2 linked regions of the Caenorhabditis elegans genome follow. The protein of the gene in region 1 purifies or fractionates together with the protein of each later gene. This does not show direct contact. Each region holds a gene or a part of one and is shown on either strand. Other genes may lie near its edges. The genes, in order: Y62F5A.9 and dnj-30.

Region 1 (6,373 bases):
GCAGAACGAAAAGGGGATCTGCAAAAAGGGGATCTGCGAAAAGGGGAGATACGAAAAGGGGAGATACGAAAAGGGGAGCAACGAAAAGGGGATCTGGCACTGTGCCAAACGCTATTTTTCTCAAAGAAAACAATACAACGATGCTCCGATGTTACGCGTCGCGTGTTGTTAAGCGTATCTTCTAGAAGAAAATTTCAAAAATCAACGTGCGTTGCGTGAGAAAAATTGCGTTTTGTGCGTTTGGCACAGTGCCAGCTCCCCTTTTCGTTGCTCCCCTTTTCGTATCTCCCCTTTTCGTATCTCCCCTTTTCGCAGATCCCCTTTTTGCAGATCCCCTTTTCGTTCTGCTCCCCTCGTGGGGCCTCAAATAATATTGTCAATGGAGCGCAGTTGCGCACACCGAAATACGCACGAAATTTGAAATTGGCAGGCCTAGAAAGTCTGGATTTAAAATATTTATGCATATTAACCTGAGTTTCGGCATGTTTAGATAAATTTAGATTAAAATTTATTAAATAAAAATATTTAAAATTTATTAAATTCAACATTATCTTTAATTTTACAGAAATAAAAACCAAAAAACCAACGAAGTGTAACTTTTCGACAATAAATATTTATAAATTATTCAATTAATTGGAAATCTATTTATCACATCTCATCGTGAACAAGCACATGGCTAAACAATGCCTCGACTTTATCCACCCATCCTGGATTTTTCCTGTTGAAAATCTTCAAATCCTTCATAGTCTGCTCAATTGCCTTAACAGCCTTTTCCCTTTTCACATCCTTCGTCAATTCCTCAACCATCGCCTCTACAAGTTGTGATCGTGAGGCCCCTTCAACGAATTTCTTGTCCAATACATCTCTGAGCTGAAAAATAAGTCCCTTTATTCATGTGCACCACCTGCCACTCATTCATTTTAGATCCTAATCCTGTATTTCTCTCTCTCTCTCACTAATCGTCCCGTCATATCTGACCCACTATAATGAGGGGACCACCACTTTGCCCCAGATTTCGTAATGAGCCAACATACACTAGGCCCTGTTCTAGCACCCCCATTGTGCATGGGAGACACATCGTCTGTTGGTTCGGGTCAGCTGAGATGACGTGGCAGATGACGTCATGTTTGTTCTCTAGCAGATCCCTATCGTAAAATACCGTTCTTTGTTCGTTTATGAGCACTTCTTGGGAAACAAGAAGAATATTAGAGAATATTGGATTTTAGGAAATTTCTTGACCCTAATAATATGTATCTCATGGGGCTAATTACGAAAGATTTAGAGCTCACTAAAGCAGATGTGGATAAGCTGGAACTATAGTCAATTCTCACGAGATATTATTATTAGCTTACTCGTTGAATTTGATGCCGTGTTAGGTAGAAGCCGAGAACACGATGAACCTTGGAAGTTATGTAGTCGAGTTTTCTGGAAGAAAAAGTATATATAGTTTGATAAAAAGTTACGTCATAAGTTATTGGTCCCGAGTGTGTACACTAGAAACTTGCGCAATCAGTTGGTCAGGTGGTCTAGGACCTTTACATGTAATATAATTCATTGGTTTGTTGCTCTAGATCTCAAAGAATATGGTTTTCCTGCTGAGAAACAAAATTTTTTTTTCAAATGTTCGCGATATTATACGATTTTTTTGCGCTGAAAAATACGGTATCCGGACTCGACACGACAGTTTTTCAATAAATTCGGAAAGGTACATATGCGCCTTTGAAGAGTACTGTAATTTTAAACATTTGTTGATGCAGTAAATATTCTCACGGATTTTTAGAGGTTTTTTTTTGAATATTTATACAGTTATATTAGAGTTAAAAAAATAAATCTATTTTTATCGAAATTTATGAAAAATCTACTCCCCAGAAACAAAGTTTGAATTTACTTAAAATGTATGTGCGCCTTTTTAAATTCAACAAAAATTTATCAAATTTTGTCTTTTTAATCACTTTTACTTTTTTTTCGAAAAAAAAAAAAACTTTAAAAACACCGAAAATTAAAATTTTTAATTACCGTAATCCTTTAAAGGCGCACACCTCTTTTTCGCAATCATAAAAATTTACAGGCACAGAATTTCCTACTGTAACGTGTTTTCTCGATAGAAACGTTTCTCCAAATCGAAATTTTTATTAGCAATCATCAATTCGTCATGTTTCTGTGCTGGAGCACATTGTTATGCAGTGCTCATGAATATTCACAGTTGAAAATCGAATTTTTTTTTCTTATTTTTATTAACTTCTCTCCTCACTCAAGTGCAATCTCATTTCGGCGGAACGATGAAAGCGGACTCGTTTGAAACGGATTACACTGCTGGCTGGCTCCATCTTTTTTATTTCTGGTTTTTTTCCCGACACGGGAGGTCATCCGTCCACGTCTTCAATCTTATTCGCTTCTCCTTCTATCTATCTCTCTTCCAAAAAAATGGAACAGATTGTCCGCCTTCTACTTTCCGCATGCGCCTATTCTAGACATCGAGAAGAAGCGAGAGAATCCGAAAAACTCCGCCGTCCGGCGCCTAGCGTTCATCCCGTCGCATCCAATTTCCTTCACCCCTGTCTCCAGTCTCTAATCTGTGTTTCCCAGACCTTCTCCTTCTTCTTCTCCCCTCTTTCTTCCCTTTCTTTTCTACGATTCCTAGACCTGCCCGGTTGACCATCGGGCCCACCATTTATCGAGCGCGTCCGTCTGTTCGTTGCTGTGAGCGCGCGCGCGCGAGCGCACACTGCACACCATTTGACCGCAACGAGCCGAGAGAGTGTGTGAAATGAAGAGACGCCGAGTGGACACGTTGCTCTACACCAAACGCGCTACACCAAATGGGCGGAGACCCAATGGTGCACCAAGTCAGCAGTATAAAAGGAATGGAAATGGTCCATTCAGTCATCAGTTGTTTTTTTATTTTCTCTTTTCTCCCATCACTTTCTCCCTTCTTCCCCTCTCCTAATTTCCATTCCCAACTATTATTCTCGGATCAGATCGAGCCATTGCTGGTTTCTTCCACAGTGGTACTTTCCATTAGAACTATCACCGGGTGGAAACTAGCAGTGGCTCGATCTTTTCCACTTGCTCCACCGCTGTCGGGGAACCGCGCCAATTTTCGCTTCAGTGCTAGACCATCCAAAGTGTCTATCACCGGGTGAAAATTCGCATGGGTCCCCGACGCGGAAAGATAAAATATCTTAAAATCGATTCTAGAAACCCTTGGACCAGTGTGGGTGTCCGTTGCGGTGCTACATTCTCTAATCTGTATCACCGGGTGAACACTTGCAGTGGTCCTCGTGGTTTCTCTGTGAGCCAGGTCCTGTTCCGGTTTTTTCCGTGGTGATAACGCATCCAAAAGTCTCTATCACCGGGAGAAAAACTGGAGTAGGACCTGTGACTCATTCCGATTTCTGGAGTTTTCCCCTACATTCTACCATTCAGCTACTGATTATTGAATTCCTGATATACCGAGAGCCCAGCTGATTTCGTCTTGGTAATAAGCTCGTCATTGAGATTATCACCGGGTGTAAATCAGCTTGGCTCTGGTGTCTCCGAACCTCCTGTCCGCACCTCAGTGGATGTATGCCATGATGATAAGATATCAGAAATCCTATCACCGGGTGTACATCAGCTAAGGTGCGGGTACAGGTGCATTTGATATCAAGGTGAGTTATTTTTAAGTGGGTCCCAGAGACCTTGGTGGTTTTTCTCTGCAGTGATAGATACTTCTAACAACTCGCTATCACCGGGTGAAAAATCACCTAGGTCTGGAGCCTCCTGCTCTTTTTTTGCTGTTTTTAAACTTAAACTTAAAACTAACACTTTATCAAAATAAAGTCTTCCAAAATCTTTTTTCTGATCTGCCGGAAGACTTTCCATGAATTTGTCCAAAACTCGTTGCACTTTATCCTCGTCGTAATCATTTGACACCATATCTTTGGATAACTAGAATAATTGAACATTGGTTTAAAAAAATTCTCTCAAAAAAAAAATCACAAACCTGATGAATTTTAGCCTCATCTATAGCAGTATCTGCGAGAAGAATCGTAAGATTCATTGATAATTCTATATATTTTCCAATAATTTTATCCGAAGCTGGATGTGAAGTTTCTACAGTACCTCCGTGGCATAATACTACAATGGAAGCAAAAAGAGCGACAATTAGGATCGTCATTTTAGTGGAGAATGATGAATTGACCCGGCTCTTTGGGGGTTGGAGGATTCATTTTCCCCTTCAACAGGTGCTCAAATAATTAAAGAGAATAGAACCGACGATATATGGGTCAAATGTTTATACAGTTGTGCTACTAAACGTATTGTTACACGCGTTATTAATAATTAGAATTAGAATTATATCGTTTTGTACGGATTGAGAATCCCATTTGGGTCGAAAATGTTCTTGAGCTTCTTTGTCAAAAGTCGTTCTTCAGGATCTTTTCCGAATGTGGAGTACGGTAGCTTCAGTTGACCGATTCCATGTTCAGCTGAAATTGACCCGCCGTGATCGACAACCCATTCGTAGAGGAAGGGATAGAGCCTGGAATTTGAAATTATTAATAGAATTAAAATTTTATAAAAAAGAAAAATCTCGAAACTTACAATTTTTCAAGTTCTTCATTGTGTTTTTCAGATGTAATATTTAAATGAGTGTTTCCATCTCCCAAATGTCCATAAGTGACAATTCTTTTAGCCAAAGAACCACATCGTTCCTTCATCACATTCGTCAATTCATAATAATTTTCCAATGGTAAAGAAACATCATGCTTATAGACATATCCATCTCTGGTAACCGCCAATGGTGCACTTTCTCTCAATTGCCACATCTTCGTAGCTTCTGCAGAAGATCCAGCGAGCACTCCGTCGATAATCAGATTTTTTGAGAGGCATTCATCCAAAAATGCGCTCATTTTCTCCATATCGTGATCTTCATTGGATCCTGATGTTTCGACAAGGATCGAGAATGGGGTTGGAGCATTCAGTACTGGGTGCAATCCTAGATTCGTTTTCAAACATTCCATCGTAGCATCGTCGAGAAGTTCGAAGGAGGAAAGGATTTCAGTGAGGCTGGATTTTGCAAGCTTCAGTACTTCGCAGCATTTTTTGAAGGATTCGATGCCTGAAAAAAATTAGAAATTGAAAAATTTGAACCCATTATATAAATATTCAACCTACCAAGCATCGCACTTTGTACACTTTTCGGTTTAGGAACCGCAGTCATTGTGACGCTTGTGATAACACCCAACTGCCCTTCACTTCCCAAGAATAGGTGTGGAGTGTGCAAAGTTGTGTTGTCCTTCCGAATGCTTGATCCCAAATGTAGAACAGTTCCATGTTCATCGGGAAGAACCACCGTGAGCCCGAGAAGATGTGCGTGAAGACTTCCGTATCGAATCAACCGAATCCCTCCTGCACACGTGGCAATATTTCCTCCAATCTGACAGGATCCTTTGGCTCCGAGATCAAAAGGCATCATATATCCGAGTTTTGCAAGTTTGTTGTCCAAGTCTTCCAGAATAAAACCAGAATCACACTTGAGAATTCCCATTGTGTCGTCGAAAGAGAATTGCTTGTTGATTTTATTCATTGATATAACAACTTCATCATGTACTGGAATTGATCCACCAACGAGTCCTGTATTCCCTCCTTGTGGGACTACTGCCAATTTGTTCTTGGAGCAATACGCCAATATTGCAGAAACCTCTTCGGTGCTCTTCGGGTAGAGGACGACACTGCCAGGACCTGGAAATTAAAACATTTAATATTTAAAGTACCTATTTAATATTAAATAAACCTAATCTTAAAATACAAATACCTTTAAATTGGCCTGTCCAATCTGTAGTATGATTTGTAATATCGTCCTTCTTCACTGCATCTTGCCCGAGAAAATTCTCAAATGCCATTAAATCCGACTGCATCACTTTTGCAAATCCTTCATGTCTGGCGGCAAGAACTGCTGCGTAGCTTCTAGTTGGTCTTCTGATTCGTGGCAAGATTTTCAGAAACATCTGAATTCAGAAACTTTTCAAAAAATAACTTGAAACTTCAAAAGAAATAGTAGGAGACAAAGCTCGGCTAGGTGACCGATTTGCCGAAAACAATAAGAAAACAAACGGCTGGGCAGTGATAAGAAAAAGAGACAGAAGAGATACAAATGATCATAGTTCATTTTATGTACTGTTAACAGAAGTGTGTAATTAAAATCATTCGTAATCCTCCAAAACTCCGTCCATATGCTCGTTTTGTACTTTTTGATTGAACCGTCTCTTCGCGGCTTTTCTTTTCAGTGGAGCCTGCATTCGAACCTTCGGCGTCAGATCCTTCATCGCGTCGAGACCCTTCTTCTGGAGATATTCTTCGATTTTCTTCTCATCCAAATGATCCACAGACA
Region 2 (6,135 bases), on another chromosome or scaffold:
CAAAAAGCTTTAATCTTAGTTTATAATCGACATAATGCAACAAAAAATAGAAAATAGCATAAATTACGTCTAAAAAATGATTTAAAAGCTTAAACTTTGAGAAACTGTCGGAAAATTCAAGAAAAAATCTGAAAATGGTTAAAGGGAGGCCACATTTGGAGGAGGATGGGTCTCGCCGCGAATCTCGTTGAGCAATTAAGCTATGCGCCTTTAAGGTTACTGTAGACAATTTTAAGTTTTTAAAACAGTTTCTAATCGATTTAAATCGAAAATCTTTTTTTCCAGAGAAAATCTAAATTTTTAGAGCGAATTTTAGGCCAAAAAACTTTAATTTTAGTTTATTATCGACATAATGCAACGAAAAATAGAAAATAGCATAAATTACGTCTAAAAAATTATTTAAAAGCTTAAACTTTGAGAAACTGTCGGAAAATTCAAGAAAAAATCTGAAAATGGTTACAGGGAGGCCACATTTGGAGGAGGATGGGTCTCGCCGCGAAATTTGTAAAGCAATTAGGGTATGCGCCTTTAAGGTTACTGTAGGCAATTTTAAAAATTTTAAAATATTTTATAGTCGATTTTAAGCTAAAATCAGTTTATAATTATTATCAAAGCTGGTTTTTTTTTAAATTTCAATTTTTTTGAGATTTTCATATCTATTTAAATCTAAAATCAATTTTTTTCCAGGGTCTAATCTCAAAAGTCAATCGAAAATGTGTCGCCGGAGCCGCTCTCCTCGTCGCCCTTAAAATGAATGATTACAAGAAGTCTACGATCAAATCGTACATCGAACAGGCCGAAGATCAGCTCCGCGAGCCGAAATCCGATCTTTTGGCTTATGAGCTTCCAATTTGCTCGGTGCTCCAGTTCAGGCTTCAGCCAACAATTGATGAGATTCAACCACATGTAGATAGATTGCAATTTGAGATGTGAAATATTGTTATTATGTAAACGCAGAAAAATGTGCTTTTTTGAAATCGTGGTGCAAGCGCGCTCCACGGATAATAGTTGGGTCTCCTTAAAGGTGGACTACGCTCAGTGGAGAAATTGCTTTAAAACACGCCTATGGGGCCACAATGACCGAATATCATGATATAAAAATTCAAAAAAATTTTCTAGATTTTATATAATTTTTTGAAAATTGGAAAAATAACAGTTTTCACCTAATTATTTTTGAATTTCCACCAATCGGATTCGTTCGATTGAGCGCGCTTGCATTATTTTTATTAATTAATTTTATTTATTCTCGTTATTTGACTGATTTTCTTCATTTTCTATGTTTTTTCCTCGGAAAATGAAAGAAATAAAAAAGACAAACGCAAAATGTTTGTTAAAAAGTAATTGAAAATGAGTAAAACTGTGAATATACTAATTTCAGGCTTGTTGTCGTCGGAACTCAGAATATCAGAGTTTTAATCATTTTCAATTCAAAAATAATTGGTTGAAAACTGTGATTTTTTCAATTTTCAAAAAATCATAAAATCTAGAAAATTTTTTTGAATTTTTTTATCATGATATTCTGTCATTGTGGCCCCATGGGCATGTTTTAAAGCAATTTCCCCACTGAGCGTAGTCCACCTTTAAGTATTGGCGAGAAAACCGTAATTTCAAAAGTTTTCAATGATTTTTCGTTGGTTTCGAGGTGAAAATCATCGAAAATTGTTAAAAATATTTAGATTTGGCCGCCATTTCTAACGAGACCCAACTTTTAGCAGAGGAGCGCGTTTGCAACTTGGTTTTAAAATACGGATTTTTCCGCGTTTAAATAATATGCAATTAGTTTTTATGTACTCAATCCATGACCCTTTTGAGATTATTTCTAGTCGACATTTTTCAAATTTAATAAATTTGGTTTTTTTTCCCTTATTTTTTCTTCAGATTTTCGATTTTTTTGCGTTGAATGTCGCTATTGTCTATATATTTTTTTCCTTAATATTTTTCCTAAAATCTAATTTTAAAAAAAAAATTTTTTCCAGCAAAAAATGTCCCAGTTTGAGTCATTTTATCAGGATGTAAGTTTTTTTTTTCAAAAAATTTGAAAAAAGTGTACATTTCTTGGTTTTTCTGGAATGTTTCGAATTTTCAGACAGTTTTCCGCGAAAAAATATTAATTTTATGTGGAAATATCGATTTTAGGGCCAATTTTGAAGTTTTAGCGAGTTTTTTCAGCTGGCTATCAATTATAAAACTATAAAAAAAATAAAATTTCGCCAAAACTTTGAAATTGGCTTCAAAATCGCGAATTCCAAATAAAATTTTTATTTTTTAAAGAAAACTTGGCTGAAATTTTTAAAAATCCAAAGAAAAACCACAAAATATGGCCAGAAAATGCGCGGGAATTCAAAAATAATTCTCAAAAATTTTTAAATTCAAGAGAAAAATTTGAAAAAAAACCAATTTTTTTTTGAAAAAGTTGAAAAAAACCATTAAAAATTTTAAAAACATTTTTAAATTTTTCCAGCTAAAATCCACGGAGCAACAGGACGCGGCTCTTACTTCTGAGCAACAAATCGAGCGACTTTTGAAGCCCGGTTCCACATATTTGAACCTTAACCCATATGAAGTGCTCCAAATCGATTTGGACACGGATATCGAGGCGGCTAAGAAGAAATACAAGAAGCTCTCACTACTTGTGCATCCGGATAAAAATCCAGATGATCGAGAACGTGCTGACAAAGCTTTTGATATTGTGAAGAAGGCGATTAAGCAAATGGAGGATCCGATTGAGTTGAATCGATGCAAAGATTGTTATACGGAGGGAAAAGCTCGGCTTGCTATTGTGGTACGGAGCAACTATGAAGATTTGCATGGAAATTCTGAGAAAATTTTTTAAAAAATTGGATTTTTCTGGAAAAAAAAAATGCCGAAATTTGGATTTTTTTTTTCGATTTTTTAATCAAAAAAAACGAAAGAAAAATCACAAAAATTCATCCCATTTTTCTCATTATTTTGTAGTTTTTCACTGAAAATCGAAAAATCCAAAAAAATTTTTTTTTAGAAAATGAACAAAAAAAATTCTAATTTATGTTGATGTGAAAATAAAATAGAAAAAGCCAAAAATTTGCAATTTTCGCAAAATATTTTTTGAACAAATCTGAAGACAATTATTTTTTATATTTTTTTTCTTCAAAAAATGAGGAAAAAAAACTAGAAAAAAACAAAATTACTGATATAAACCAAAAGCGTATTATTTTAAAAATAATTTTCCAAAAAATTGAAAAAAAGTAAATTATCAAAAATTTACTTTTTTAACGTTTTTTTGGAAAAAAATCGTTTTTTTCTTGATTATTTTGTGAAGAAAACGTAGTTTCGCAAAAAATTTCATATAATTCGGAAATTTTTCGTTTTTTTGTAAAAATTGTTTTTTTAAAATTCACTCGAAAATCCAAGACCACGAAAAAAATTAGTTTGTATCCTAAAAATTAAAAAAAAAAATTTTTGAAGCAAATTTTAATCAAAAAATTATGTTTCTTCGAAGAAAAATTGTAATTTTATACAAAAATTATGAAAAGTGAACGAAATTCGAGGGAATATATATATATATATAAAATTTTAAAAAATACATTTTTCAATTTTTTTGTTGAAAAAAACCAAAAAAAAACCACAATCCACAGTCTCCTCGTCATCGAAAGCGCACAAAAAACTGCTTACTGGCGCGTTTCGCGTTTTTGCTAGCGCATTTTGTGGATTTTCCGAAATTCAGAAATTACGCGGAAAATAGGCTAGAATTCCAAAATTACAGCCCCGCCTCTTTTGATAATTATCTTCAGGATGAAGAAGATGATCGCGAAGGTGGGTGACTTGAAATATACAAGAAAAATATGATTTCTTTAGAGAAACACCATTTTTACCGTTGATTTTTTAATATCCCTACTCCTCCTTCAGTTTTTGACCAAATTTTCTCTTTTAATGGTCTTTCATTTCATTTTGTGCTAATAAACAAATTTTAAGTTCGAAATCTGCGAAAAAATTCGTTTCAACGCTAAAAAACGACGAAGTTTATTTTTCAACACTAAAAAGATTCACTCCCTCCCCCGGCTGCGCCAAGGTGTGAGCAAGTGCGCCCCAGCCCAATTCGACGCCGAGGAGACTGTGCAATCCTACCTCCAAGATCGTTAACAAAAATCAAAAATTGTATATTTTTTTTCTCAAAAATTCATTTAAAAAAACCGAATTTCTTCCAGATGTCGGAGAAAAAGCGAAAATTGCGAAAAGATGGAAAAGAAGATGTGATTGAAGAAGATGATCCAGCTGGATACAAGAAAGCTCTGTGGATTACTGTAACAAAAGTGTTTGCTGATCGAGAGAAGAAGAGAAAGATGCTTGAAGAGAGGGCGAATGAGGAAAAGTACGGGAAATTGATAGTAAATTGGAGAAAAACCGAATTAGGATCAATTTCTAATTAGAAATTGAAAAAAATTGAAAAAATTGAAAAAAAATGGAATAGAAAAATCGGAAATAACAAAGAAAAATTGAGATAAAATCACAAAAATCCGAGTTTTCAGAAGAAACAAAAGAAGAAAAATTCCAATTTAAAAAAATTAATTTTGTAATTTTTTTGGTTTTTTGCTTAAAATCAAGTAAAAAATGTAAAACAATTTTTTAAAAATTAAAAAAAAAGTAAATTTGGCAATTTTACTGTTTCTTTTTTAAGAAAACTTTTTTAATTTTAAGAAAAATAAAATACAATTGATTTTTCAGATATTTATTTCAAAAAACTGAATAATTTTTAATAAAAAATGCAAAAATTGAACAGATATTAAGAAAAAAATTATTTAAAAAAAATTGAATTTGCCAAAAATTTCTGAAAATTTTCAGGTTTATTTATATCAAAACCATATATTTTTTGAAGTTTTCCTGAAAATCCTTGAAGAAAATAAGATAAATTGATAAAAATCCGACTTTTTTAAAAGAAAAATACAATAATTGGTAATTCTCATTTTCCAAAGCGGAAAACCTCAAAATTTCGGGTTAAAATATCTAAAATCTAGAATTTCTTGGGAAGTTTCGAATTTTGCTCTAAAAAATGTTGTATTAAAAATTACATTTTTCTGAAAACTCATTTGAAAACAATTTTTTGCATTCAAAAATTGCCTTTAAGAAAATCACAAAAATTTTTCAGACGCCGCTCAACTGAAGCGTTAGTCCAAGCAGCAGAGAAGCGTAAACTGGCCGAAGAATTCGCGAAAAACTACGAAGAATCTCGTGACGAACGTTCCGGAAGCTGGAGAAATTTCCAGGCGAAAAAGGCGAAAAAAGAGGATAAGGGAAAGACGTTGAAGGGTGCAGCATTCAAACCTCCGAAAGTTAAACTTCAGAAATAATTATTGATCTCTTTGAATTTTTCTATTTATTCTCATTCATTATATTCCCATCATTATTGTGTAAAATCTCAACAAGTTTTTGTAAAAAATTATTTTATTCGAATTTTTTTTGTAAAAAAACCATTAAAAACCTCCAAAAAATTACGAAAACTGGAAATTTTGAAGTTTTAATTTTTGTTTAAATTTAATTTCCGGATATTTTCAATTTTTTCCAAATTTATTTGAAAATTCAAAAAAAAACGATAAACCAAATTTAAAAGTAAAAAGTAAAACGTATTCCCATCATTAATACAAGAGTGGAATTGCCGTTCGGCAAATTTTTATCGGGAAATTGCCAGTATGCCGATTTGCCGAAAACTTCAGTTCCGGCAATTGGCCGATTTGCGGGAAATATTCATTTTCGGCAATTTTTCGATTTGCCAAAAATTTAAATTCGTGCAATTTGCCGGTTTGCCGGAAATATCAATTCGGGCAAATTGCCAATTTGCCGGAAATTTTGAATTCCGGCAAATTGCCGATTTGCCGGAAAAAAATCGTTTGCCGCCCACCTCTGCATTATTGTGTAAAATCTCAACAAGTTTTTTGTGAAAAATTTTTTATTATAGTTTCCTTGAAGAAAAAAAATTTCGGAAAAAGTAGAAAAAACCCGTAAATCAAAAGTAAAGAGAGAAGAAATGATGGTTGAATGCATTAAAAACAAACAAAAAATAATATAAAGATCATCGGTTTTGTCATGGGAAATTGGGATGAAATGGGCGCGGAAAAATCTCGCTCAGACGACCTTACTGGGTCTCCATGAATTCTGAGGATT

The links.
Region 2: the proteins of Y62F5A.9 (region 1) and dnj-30 fractionate together in Caenorhabditis elegans (co-fractionation; one large-scale study listed by BioGRID). This does not show direct contact.

Annotation. Positions count from the first base shown.
Region 1 is NC_003280.10:11,534,641-11,541,013, forward strand, and holds Y62F5A.9 (uncharacterized protein), read right to left. Parts: upstream 4,202-6,373; 5' UTR 4,160-4,201; coding exon 3,986-4,159; intron 3,931-3,985; coding exon 3,806-3,930; intron 3,765-3,805; exon of another isoform or gene 3,668-3,764; intron 3,636-3,667; exon of another isoform or gene 3,544-3,635; intron 3,536-3,543; exon of another isoform or gene 3,293-3,535; intron 3,291-3,292; exon of another isoform or gene 3,073-3,290; intron 3,065-3,072; exon of another isoform or gene 2,887-3,064; intron 1,426-2,886; coding exon 1,353-1,425; intron 871-1,352; coding exon 649-870; 3' UTR 501-648; downstream 1-500. Other genes in the region: dhgd-1 (D-2-hydroxyglutarate dehydrogenase, mitochondrial), read right to left, coding at 4,336-4,522, 4,585-5,101, 5,158-5,724, 5,798-5,990; gtf-2E2 (Transcription initiation factor IIE subunit beta), read right to left, coding at 6,186-6,373.
Region 2 is NC_003279.8:2,717,317-2,723,451, reverse strand, and holds dnj-30 (J domain-containing protein), read left to right. Parts: upstream 1-1,976; 5' UTR 1,977-1,982; coding exon 1,983-2,012; intron 2,013-2,461; coding exon 2,462-2,782; intron 2,783-4,184; coding exon 4,185-4,348; intron 4,349-5,122; coding exon 5,123-5,324; 3' UTR 5,325-5,425; downstream 5,426-6,135. Other genes in the region: Y71F9B.6 (Cyclin N-terminal domain-containing protein), read left to right, coding at 688-933; lin-17 (Frizzled-4), read right to left, coding at 6,097-6,135.